Linked DNA regions of Daphnia pulex. The main gene of each other region encodes a partner of the protein of the gene in region 2 in a complex. Links are inferred from orthologs where the notes say so. Each region holds a gene or a part of one and is shown on either strand. Other genes may lie near its edges.

What was found. The genes of interacting proteins can lie anywhere in the genome.
Region 1: the proteins of putative inhibitor of apoptosis (region 2) and caspase-1-like are in contact, whole or in part, in a crystal structure (PDB 3SIP), measured with the Drosophila melanogaster proteins. The link is inferred for Daphnia pulex from reciprocal best matches to the Drosophila melanogaster genes Diap1 and Drice. Residues at the interface, in NP_001261916.1 of Drosophila melanogaster: Gln101, Pro105, Asn106, Arg111, Arg113, Ile132, Ser133, Tyr134, Asp135, Ile136, Cys137; in NP_524551.2 of Drosophila melanogaster: Tyr256, Ser257, Trp258, Arg259, Asn260, Thr261, Thr262, Arg263, Trp266, Asp298, Phe299, Glu300, Ser301, Cys302, Thr303, Met309, His310.

The regions. Positions count from the first base shown.
Region 1 is NC_060028.1:7,606,381-7,611,518, forward strand, and holds caspase-1-like, read right to left. Parts: upstream 2,908-5,138; 5' UTR 2,721-2,907; coding exon 2,650-2,720; intron 2,571-2,649; coding exon 2,308-2,570; intron 2,244-2,307; coding exon 2,068-2,243; intron 1,995-2,067; coding exon 1,862-1,994; intron 1,773-1,861; coding exon 1,522-1,772; 3' UTR 1,306-1,521; downstream 1-1,305. Other genes in the region: uncharacterized protein LOC124208790, read right to left, coding at 3,280-3,761, 3,848-4,099, 4,168-4,369, 4,453-4,607, 4,677-4,992, 5,056-5,138.
Region 2 is NC_060026.1:15,700,052-15,705,731, forward strand, and holds the start of putative inhibitor of apoptosis, read right to left. Parts: upstream 2,801-5,680; 5' UTR 2,455-2,800; intron 2,409-2,454; exon of another isoform or gene 1,938-2,408; intron 1,741-1,937; 5' UTR 1,674-1,740; coding exon 1,139-1,673; intron 1,080-1,138; coding exon 870-1,079; intron 792-869; coding exon 628-791; intron 555-627; coding exon 228-554; 3' UTR 1-227. Other genes in the region: phytanoyl-CoA dioxygenase, peroxisomal-like, read right to left, coding at 3,751-3,810, 3,887-3,992, 4,061-4,151, 4,213-4,438, 4,496-4,609, 4,671-4,979, 5,051-5,104. UniProt on the Drosophila melanogaster protein: Anti-apoptotic protein which functions as a caspase regulator, using its E3 ubiquitin-protein ligase activity to smother caspase activity. Binds, ubiquitinates and inactivates initiator caspase Dronc, and effector caspases Drice and Dcp-1.

The DNA of each region.
Region 1 (5,138 bases), on a different chromosome or scaffold from region 2:
TTATCATCTATTGGGAGGTCCATGTCTGACCGGCGGCCGCCTCGGCAGCCAAATTGAATTCTATTTTTATTTTATTTTTTTCAAAAATCAAAATTTTACCGCGAAAAATTCTTGGTGTATATTTTATTGCCGATAGCGATGTATGCGCATCTCTCTCCCCCTTCTTCCAGCCGCCATTGGGAGAAAACACACCGGGGCGGACACTTTGTAACCTTTTTTCCCGATTTGATTTATTCATCCATTTTTTCTCTCTTCTTTAAGTTCGGGGGTGAAATGTTGGAGGAGAAAATCTCTAGGCCAAAAAAAGCACAAAAACGAACGGAACCAAAACCTTGTGGAGATCGTAAAAGAAGGGGCTCAGGTAACAAAGGAGGGAAGAAGAAAAAAAAAGAGATATTTAGGACGGTGTCACCATCTACCACGACTGTAAATCAAACGGGGCCAAACGTTCCACCTCTATACTTTGTTCCCATGCACACACACGCCGTCCGTCCACTTTTTTTTGTAGATGTTTTATTTTGGCCAATAATTGCCAGGTTTGCAAACGGGTTTTTTTTCTAACGATCTTTTGACGGTCCAGCGGTGAAATAATGGCCTCAAGTAGAGTACTAATAGCTAGAGCCAATTGGAACGGGATATCCTATCATAAATGAAGGGGGAGATGGCTGCTGCTGCTGGTCTGCCTGCTGTTGCCTTGGAGATATTTGTTTGGTTTCTATTACGTTTTGGGCTACCGGTCTAAAGTCGAAAAAAAAAAATCTATTTATGGCGGAATATTTAAAGCCACACCCGTGGTTTTCCAACAGAAAATAAAGGGGGAAAAATAAAAGTTAAGAGAGAGAGAGAGAGACAGTTCAACTCGGATATCTGATCGGAATTTTAGATTTATGGAGACGTTGGAGATGCCCAACTGAGCTCATGTTGCCTGTCCATATTCCCCTGTTCCTCTCCCCGCAGCTTATTTGTAGACGATAGGGGGGGGGGGGGGCCGGGCCAGCAACGACGGACAAGAGAAATAGAGAAGCATGCAGCATTAATGAAGAGACCTGCTGATCAAAATGGACTGTTATAGGTAGAGCTTAAGAGCTCATCCACATTTTAAGTCCTCTTTGTTGGACACTAAATCCACCGGCCGTTAGTTTTACAGCTCTGCACTGCCACAAAAGGAAGCCCCTGCAACGGCCCTTCATTCATGAGACGGACTTGTAAGTTAATCGCTGACCATTTCCAAAAAAGAAAAAGAAAACGTGAACACGGTGTCGACCTCGTTTGTTTCTCGAAATAACTTGACGCCCAGTCCGTCCATTTAACCGAAATGGTTTGCCCGTGTATACAAACGGCTTCGCATTGCATTGATACAAACACAGCACTTTAGCAAATAAAAAAGTGAGCAAAGTATTGAATTGTCGTCTGAAAGACTTACTTGATGAGATAGAAAGTGCGATCGAACTTAAATCGTTGTGAAGAATTCTTGATAAGGAGAAGAACAAGGCAACATTTTCTTGTTTCGTAGCTTTTCAATCAAATACGGCGAGTCGTCTTGCGCTTGAAATAAATTTTCCGAGTCAAGAGACTCGTGACGCAGGGAATTTGCTTGCGCTGGTGCATGTTCGAGTCTTGAGGCGTATTGGATTCGAAGCCGATCGAGACTATTCGAGAGACGGTCGTCATCAAGGAGAGTAGATCGTCTTCTCGGCCGCGCTCCGACAGCACGTAGCACAACGCCTGGACGAACCAAGATCCGTTAGTCGTATTGCGCCAGGAATAGAAACCTAAAAAGGCAACCGGGGCGCCCACAAAATGGCAATGGAGTAAGTCATTGGGAGTAAATTAGGTACGTTTTTCACAATGTCATTTTTACCCGGAACAGTTGAATACGCAATCAGGAAATCCGCGTGAGTGGGTATTTTGTAAGCCACTGCACTGGGCGAATCGGTTTCTGTGACTCTGGGCAACATTGTTGTACCTGCATCCAATCTGTCCCCCTGGCAAGCCTTTTCAAAGTAAACCATAATTAACTCAAGGTATTTGGGGACAGTGAAGTCCATTTTTTTAAATAATGTTTACCTGAATAAAGAAAAGCTTTGGTTTTCCAGCCAATGTGGGACATTGGTCAGACGTAAAGTGGGACCACAATTTTTCAGGTTTGTACTGCTGGTCTTTGGCATACAATATGCCATCATCACCATGGGACATCAATGCAACGAGAACACAATCGTGTTCAGAGTGATCCTCACTTGCCACTGAAAAAAAAATCACAAATAAATCAAAATTGAAAATGAAATTCAACTATGGGAAATTGCTTACATTTAATTATTTCAGTATTTAGTTCATTGAATGTCAGATCATTGAAATATGTGACATCAAAGTCCAGTTCCCTCAACCTCATGTACAGGTTGTCTCTGTCTTTAGATGTTCCAGCACGTGGTTTTAAATCAAGATTGGGGTTGAAGTTTTCGTGATTAAAGATGCAAGCCTTCCCTCGCTTCACATGATTCATGTTATATGCTTCTGAGTCACGATCAACAGGTAGGAAAGCAAAGCTGGGAAGGTCGGTATTCAAGCCAGGCCTTCAAAGACAAAAAATAAATGTGATTAGTGATTACTTGAGTGTCAAATAGTTTCAAGCCTTTCTTTTTTTTTACTTACTGTTTGAATTTAACATCAGGTTCATCATGTTTTGAACCCAATTCATTATTCTGAATTCCAACTTCCTCCATTTTATTTTACAAAACAATATTATGCCACTTGTTGGTTAGTGTTCAGGAATGACTCAACCAAGATGACTCAAACAGTTTTATACTATTTAGCAATAGATTTTTTCACAATCACAGTTTACTTGACAGTTCCTATCTCTGTGCATTGATTTTAACGAACCTGCCTCTGCCTCCTTTATTCGAGTTGAAAAAGACATCAGCGCAACCTACTGACGAAATGACCAAGCAGTTTCCCGGACGGTTGGCGGGTTGGAGCAATCTGTTTAAAAAAATAAATAATTTATAAAATGATTTTTTATCTTTTTCTAGAATCAAGGGATGAATCACTTAGGCTATGGTGTGTTGAACTCCATAGCAACTGCATCGTAATGTTAATTGCGAATGCATCTCATTCCTTGTTTGTTGTTTCCAAAATGAGAAACTACAAGTCTGGCATTTTTTGTTCAAATAGTTTTATTGTTAGAAATCAGCAAAGAAAGTCAATTAGTCATTTTCAATCGCACAGTAAATAATTTCTGTCTTGAATTTTAAATGAACATTTTCATTCCGAATCATGCAATCATCACACCATCAACGTTTTTACAAACTGGGAAATGTCTTCCTCGAGCAGGAAACCATTAAATTGGCTGAATGGACCATTCAAAGTCGTCCCTGGTGTTAAGTAATCAATTTCTAACCAGATTTGATCTCCCTTATTCAAATTCAACGTTGATTGAAGGGAAAGGGTTTCATCTTGCACTGTGGCGCTGATCTCGTCAGAATAACTCCTTGCAATTCGATCCCCGTTCTTATACAAATAAAGATAACAATTCTGTATTGTCGAAGATCCCGTAAATCGTATCAGTCCCGTGAAGGAGAAAAAGTACTTGCCCGCGACCGGTGCCGTGAATTTGCCTGATGTAAAATTCATGGCTCCTCCCACGTTTAGTATTTCAACGTCGAATGGAATAGGGATCTTAGTTTCGTTAAAGGTTACGTTTCTTTGAGCGTAGAAGTAGGTAGGAGAAGATTTAACATCCGCGTAACCGATCCACGTCTGGAAACCTGCAAATTTGATTATGTATTACTATGTAGAACTATAAATCGTTACAAGTTTACAATACGTGAACTTGTATTAAAGAAGCTCATACCTGAGTCAAAGGGCAGTTTATTAAAATCGCAATAAACAGCTTCAATCATTGCTCTTCCCATAACGGAATATAATCCACTCAAGGTGTGCCCCTTTCTCCACAAATCTTCGCATGACTTTGGCATTCCAGTGACAGTCACTTGTCCGGTACATTCAAAACGGCCAAGTGTGTGGACACCTGATGAAGTCTCTAGTTGAGTTCGACCAAAATTCAGCCGAGTAATGGGCAGAACAGTTTTATCAGTAATGACTCCTGCGTTTGTTAAAAATAGTTGGTCGGTTATTTAACATTCAAAAGAATCTTTTAAGATGATATTGAACCATCGTCGGATAACTGAATAGGCGCAGCAGAGTCGCAGTTGCATGTTAAAGGAGTTTCGACGCAATTTCCATCGATCCCGCACTGGCAGGTGTGGGTGTCTGTGTTGTTGCCCGACCAGAAATATTTGGCAATGCCTCCTTTGTCGTTCCACCAACAATAAGAAACCCCAGCAATTTCAAAAGGAGAAAAGTTGCAATCATACTAGGTCCAGTAAAAATATTAATGCGACTATATTAGTTTCATCCATGCAAGTTTAAGGGAAACTTCAAACTTGTGCTACTAACTTTAATTATCTGATGGCATTCCGCCGATAACTCAGCCAAAGCTGACATTTGTCTACTAGTGGCGTTGTAGTTGATGGCTCTGGAATAACAACCCGGATCGGCGCAATGGCCCACGTTCAAAGGTCCTTCGCTATCGTGTGGGATGGATGTGGATTCTACAACGTCAAGTTAAGTGAAATCTTTTAGAATATTCATTCAGATTCTGGATATTTTCTTGTTCAGACCTTTAATCATGTCGCAGTAGACGTAAATGGGGTTGTCACCAACTCCCTGGCCGTCAGGATCGATCCAGTTCATTCCGGAAGTGAGGAATGGGTCCGCTAGATGAGCCTCTCTGCACGTTCTGTGGATGCTGCCGCTCTTTCCACCTGATTGGGCGTTGACTGCATCGACGTATTTAAAAATGGATTTTGAGTTGACTACTCGTTCATTCTCCAGGGCGAGTTCCAACCTGGCAACTTTTTGTTCGAGCACTTCTAGCCTGGCGTCTTTGATTTCCAGTTGAACGACATTCTCTTTCAATACTTGTCTCACTTCAATCTTGTTTAGATTTAATTCAATTTATTACGAAAATTCATTGGTGAATCTGAGAGAAATTCTTACCAACTGATCAGATAATTGTTGCAAGCGCTCCTCTACAGAAAGGCCATTTGCGATCGTAATAGACCAGCATAATAAAACTAAAA
Region 2 (5,680 bases):
GTCAAAAATGTGCCTCTGAACCGAGAGAGTTCTTGTAATTACATTTATTATCTGGATATTTTGTAGCTAATTATTTTAAGCCAACTTTTTTTTTAAATCAAATGCATATAAAGGCTATCTCTCTTCCACATACAAACAAAAGCGTTTTCAAGTTCCGGTACACCGCCATAACTAGGGGCGTGTGTTTCTTCTCTGATCCAATATTTAATTACCGTATGTTTGTTTTTTTAAGAAAAGGGAAAGAAGGCGCGGACCGTCGCTTCGATGCGTTTACGACAGAGGGGACAAGTGGTGAGAGCAGTAGCGCAGGACGGGCAACTCATGGAATGCCCGCAGGGTAGAAAGACCATACTGAGCTGCTGGTCATAACAGATCTGACAAAGAAGGGCGTCACGTAGTTTGGACGAAGCAGAAGTGGATGGCGCATCACCGCCAGTAGCTTCTTCCGACGATTGCACAGCAGCACTACATACATTTTTACCATCTTCTTCTTTTTTAACTTCTTTAACTTCGACTAAATCTTCTGAAGCCGCGCTCGATCCAGGAATATTTTGCTATACAAATATTCAAATGATTTGTTAATATGACTCACAGGATGTAAACACTTTTCGTGCTTATTTATTATACCTTGTATCGAGCTTGAATTTCTCTGATGTAGTCATTTCCTTTCACGGATACTAGAAAGTTGCAACGCGAGAACCAACGGGCGTGTTCTACCCACGGGTCGTCCTTGGGCTCCCAATTGCGCAGAGCTCCGTCGCAGCAGAAACATTTGACGTGATCGCCAGTTTCTATTTTAGAAAAAAAGAAAGAATCGAATTAATAAAATAAAAAATTGCTCGGCATTATGGTATTAAATTTCGACGTACTCATGTAGTAGAATCCTGCTTCAGCTAGCTGCGGTGGGCGTTGTTCTAAACCAGGCGGCCAATCATCAAACGTTTTCAATCTAGCTTCTAACGATGTCAATTCAGGATGACGAGCTTGTTGATGTGGCAAAAGACTCAATGATGACAAGTCACCCGAAGTTGATGGCCCTTCACCGCCGTTTGCTTGACGGATCGTTAATGCCACTGGAACTAAATTTCAACAAGAGATTGAATTGCTGAATAACAAATTATTGATGAAAATTGCTCACCTCTTTCGGGTAATGCATTGGGACGAGATTCGTTTTGAAATCGGGAGCATGTATCTGCGCCACCACCACCGCCCAATGAGGGGAATGCACATGGACGTGAGGATGAGGCGACGGGTTGGACAGTGGGGACACTTCTATTACTGGAGAGAGGGATATTGCCAACTGATAATTGAAGAACAAAAGGGCAATTTGGAGCATGTCTTCTATGCTCAGCCATGGGATCATCGTGAGCTTCCCATTGGCTGATGGTAATGCAGCAAAATGCACATTGGGTTTGATCTGCCAGGCCTCGATAAAAAAAGCCAGCACGTGAAAGATCTCTAGGAGAAAGGTATTCGAGGGGCCATCCCTGGAAAGTTGCTAATCGCAGGGCTTCACTTCTTAAAGCTCTTTGAGAAGCGCTGTTGCTGGATGGGACACTTTTCTGCAAACTAGGGTGAATTGGAGCATCAATCACGTTGTTGTTTGATTGATGACAAAACTGGTGTGAAGATAGTGAGTTTTGACGAAATGTGCCTATTTCAGTTGAGCTCATTTTGTTAGAGGAGCACACTCAGTCGATTAATTAAGTTGAATTGAAAAGGTAGATTGGAAAAGCCACACTGCAAAGAAAGAAACACAAACATTAAGTAAGTAGAAAATGCTCTCCCAAGGCTCAAACACAACAAAAGAAATCCTAACGTTACAATAGCAATCTGCGCATCACAACACGTTAATAATGGGGGCATCGCTTTAAATCCACTTTTCGCTGTTATTTGAATGAAATAGCACTTAAAACTGACTAAAGTGATTAACTTACCAATTTAAGAGTATGAATTTCCTTAAAAATGATACATTTTTCCTCACAACAAGGCTGATAACAAAGATGGGAGGAACACGAATAAGCGTAGAATGTATGTATGTACCCGAATGGCCTTTGAAAGCTTAAGATGGCGACTGATTTTGGAATGCGTACTGCCGCAGGGCAACTTTAACAATGGGGAGAGGGGGGGAACAACAAGGACGAAGCCAATGTCCCAACTTTTACTGTTACCTATACCAAGAATGCCAGAATACGATACGGTTCCCCAAAACTTCCGACAAACTTTCGCAATTTTGAATCGATATTGCTATGGTTAAAATGCAAGGGCGGGTGACTCAGCTTTCTAATCGATATCCCCTTTAATTTGTGCTGGGTTTTACCGACGGTTTTAAAATGTAAAATAAACTAACGTCTCTGTGGAATTTGTCCAATTCTTTATTAGTCATAGCCGGAAGCGGTACTTGAAAAAAAACGTCGAATTATTGCCTAATAACGAAAATAAAAGATAACTCACCGTTATACAGAGCTGAATGTGCAAATTTTCTTGATATGTAAAAACTTTGAGTGGTCAATTATATCCCAAATTCTAGAAGTTGCAAATTTTCGATTAAACTATTTACAATATTTCAAATAAAAATAATTTTTAAAATGATGCTACTAATATAATTATTAATGCTGGGATTTTTTAAAAAAGAACATTTCATCAGGAAACTCAAGTTCACTGACGAAACGTTCGTGAATTAACCATTTCAATATAATTTTACTGTTACAAAAAAAAATACTACAAAGTTCTACGGAATTGTAGAGAATAAAACACACAATTTGCTATTGCGTCTAGCCACAATGGACTAAAAAACCAAAAAGTGGGTTTTATACCGCAATTCCATATCACGCCCTGTTTAAGATAACATATGAAACATGCCTAGACAAGTATCTTTATAGTTATAAGTGCTCCGAAGTCTACTTCGTGAACTGAACACGTACACAAAAATATTTTCGAGAATGATAAAATGTTTGATTCCTAAAGGGCGGTTACAACGAAACAAACAAAATAACAATCACAATAAATTGATTAAATTAACTTTAACTTACCTAAAGTTACCAAAAACATTTTGTAGTTTAGTAAGTAGGAGCACCAGTTGTGCGCATATATAAGGTTCCATTATCGAACCGTTTGTGTAACGTTTCGTTCCGCTTATCAATTCACTAATAAACTGATTCTAGAAGCTTCTGTAACAGAATAATTTGTTTAATTTGATTCTCCGTATTTTTGTAAGCCGTTGATCAGAGTCAAATTAAGATTTCATGCGCATGTCACAAGTTCTCTTTTGGTTCGTCCATTAACTATTCAGATTTCAGACTCTAAATCCTCGACTAATAGCGCAACAGCTCTGCAATTTGACTTGCTCAGTTGCATCTGAATTACTCTGCGATTCATATTGAAATCAATTTTGACTAGATGATCCTTTCCTCATTGCACCATTTCGACATTTACTTAATAAGTATTTCAAAATTTATATAGTTTCAATAAAACGTGCAATGACAGTTGAAGGACATTGGAATCAGTAAATGCTTTTATCTCGTTAGGACTATGATAAGCTGATAACAAATAATGACGGCGTTGTTTTTCTTAACTGTATTGCGACAACAGCTGCATAAGTTGAATCAAACAAAATTCCCAGAATTATATAAGTAAAATATTTTATACAGATTAAAAAAAGTACCCCATTTTGTTATTATGTACGTTGATTGGTTAATTTGGCAATAAAGGCGGATGAAAGAAGCCCTAGAATATGTTGATACTCGAGTTCTAAGCCGGGATAGAAGGGTCACGGCCACGACACAAGCGACTACGGAAACGCCAGATATCCTGAAACCCCCGAATGCAAACAAAATAAATTTAGAAATCCCCCCACAATTGAAATAATGTTGGGTGAATTTAGTACCTGGAATTCGAGTTCCATGCCGCGACGCTTGGCGATTTCTTCGACTTCCTTGGCGATATTTTCCTGTGAAGTTCCGCGGATGTCGATGTACTGCATGTCAGCCGAGCTGTAAGTTTTTTCAACAACACAACATTAAACAAATTTAATTATTTCGCACTGGGGTAATGATTTTACCTGTAATGGCATGAAATAGCTTTGCGGAATCCATTGGTCCTGTTCATTCCCGATCCGTGGATAAGGATTGGATGGAAGAAAACAGTGTCACCTATAAAAATGTTTGCAATGTCAGAATTCTTAATTCATTCAGTTTTCATTTGATTCATTACCTTTCTCCATTGGCAATTCGACCATTGGGTGATTGTCATATCCACGAACTCCATGATACATTTTGTTGACGCCTTTCTCCCAATCGGGATAGTCGTGTTGATGCAAAACTCCTTTGTGGGTGCCGGGCAAGACAATCAGACATCCATTGTCGGGCGTGATGCGTTCCATGGCAGTCCAAGCGCAGACAATACGATCGGCCGGACGGAAAGGGAAGTAGTGCAAGTCCTGTCATCAAAGAGAATTAAATTTGAGCGAGAATAAATTACTTGAGGTGTCAATTACTTGATGGAGAGGATGGCGAGAAGTTTGACTTCCTGTATCAGGTGGTTTATTGATCAACATGGTATGCATAGCGCGAATATTGGGTCCAGTAAAGCATTCAACATGGTCCAAAATCTAAAGATTGAAAAGTTATAGTTGAATACGTGAAAATGAAGAAAAAAGAACAAGTGCTTACCTGAGGAAGCAGGCAAAACTGGAAGAGAACCTCATCGTAGACAAAGTCTTGAGCTTTGTTGTAAAGACGTTCACCTGACACTGTGTTGTTTTTAGCCAGAGAAATGTCTTTCATCATGGTGATTCCACCCCATGGGACTCTTCGATCACACAAGGCAAGAAATCTTTCCTTGCAGGCATCTAAGAACTGTGAGCTAACAAGGCGTGGAATTACAAGAAAGCCATTGTCTTCGTAGAATTGCCTCTGCTCCAGCGTCAACATAGGGTTGTCCAAGGTGTACTGGAATCTTGAGTGGCCATTCATATGTCCCTATAACAGTACACACAGTTTTAAGTATATGTATACAACTTTCATGAAAATGAATATTAATAAAATAGTACCTGATAACCATTATTCATGTGGCCAAGGACAGCTTTCAATCTAGCATCAGCCATGGTTTAAAAGTGAAACTAGAATTACCTAAATTAGTATTTATAGATTATTTTTGATCAAGCAAATGAAATTGGAAGTAAATTCTTTAACCTTAAATTCTTCGCGCAGAGCAACAGGTATCTAAAGCTTCTCTAGCAAGGTGGTTGCCAAACTTATTAGATCAAGGTATCTCCCTAACGACGTAGTCAGCAGAGATGACTATGATAAGTTGCCTATCAAAGTTCAAAGGGTTTGATAATTGATGTTGTTCTAAAGGCGTCTACGTACGTGACTATAAGCATGCGTTTTCTACAGGAGATGAGGCAGACGTGTTATTGACTTATTGTTATATAAGAGCTAGATAAAAACAAGTTGAATTTTCAACTTTTCAACCTACTTTTGCACTGAACGAAAACGAACCGAGTCAACAAATACCTGGAGTGCCATCTATCGGTAACATTAAACAATCTTGTTCTGACGTCATTGAATCTAATGTGATCAGAATCTGACGTAATACGCCCCATTTCATGGGGAAAAGTTTTGTGTATTTGAAGAAAATCAATCAACTTTATTGGCCGAAATCAGTTAATTGAATATAG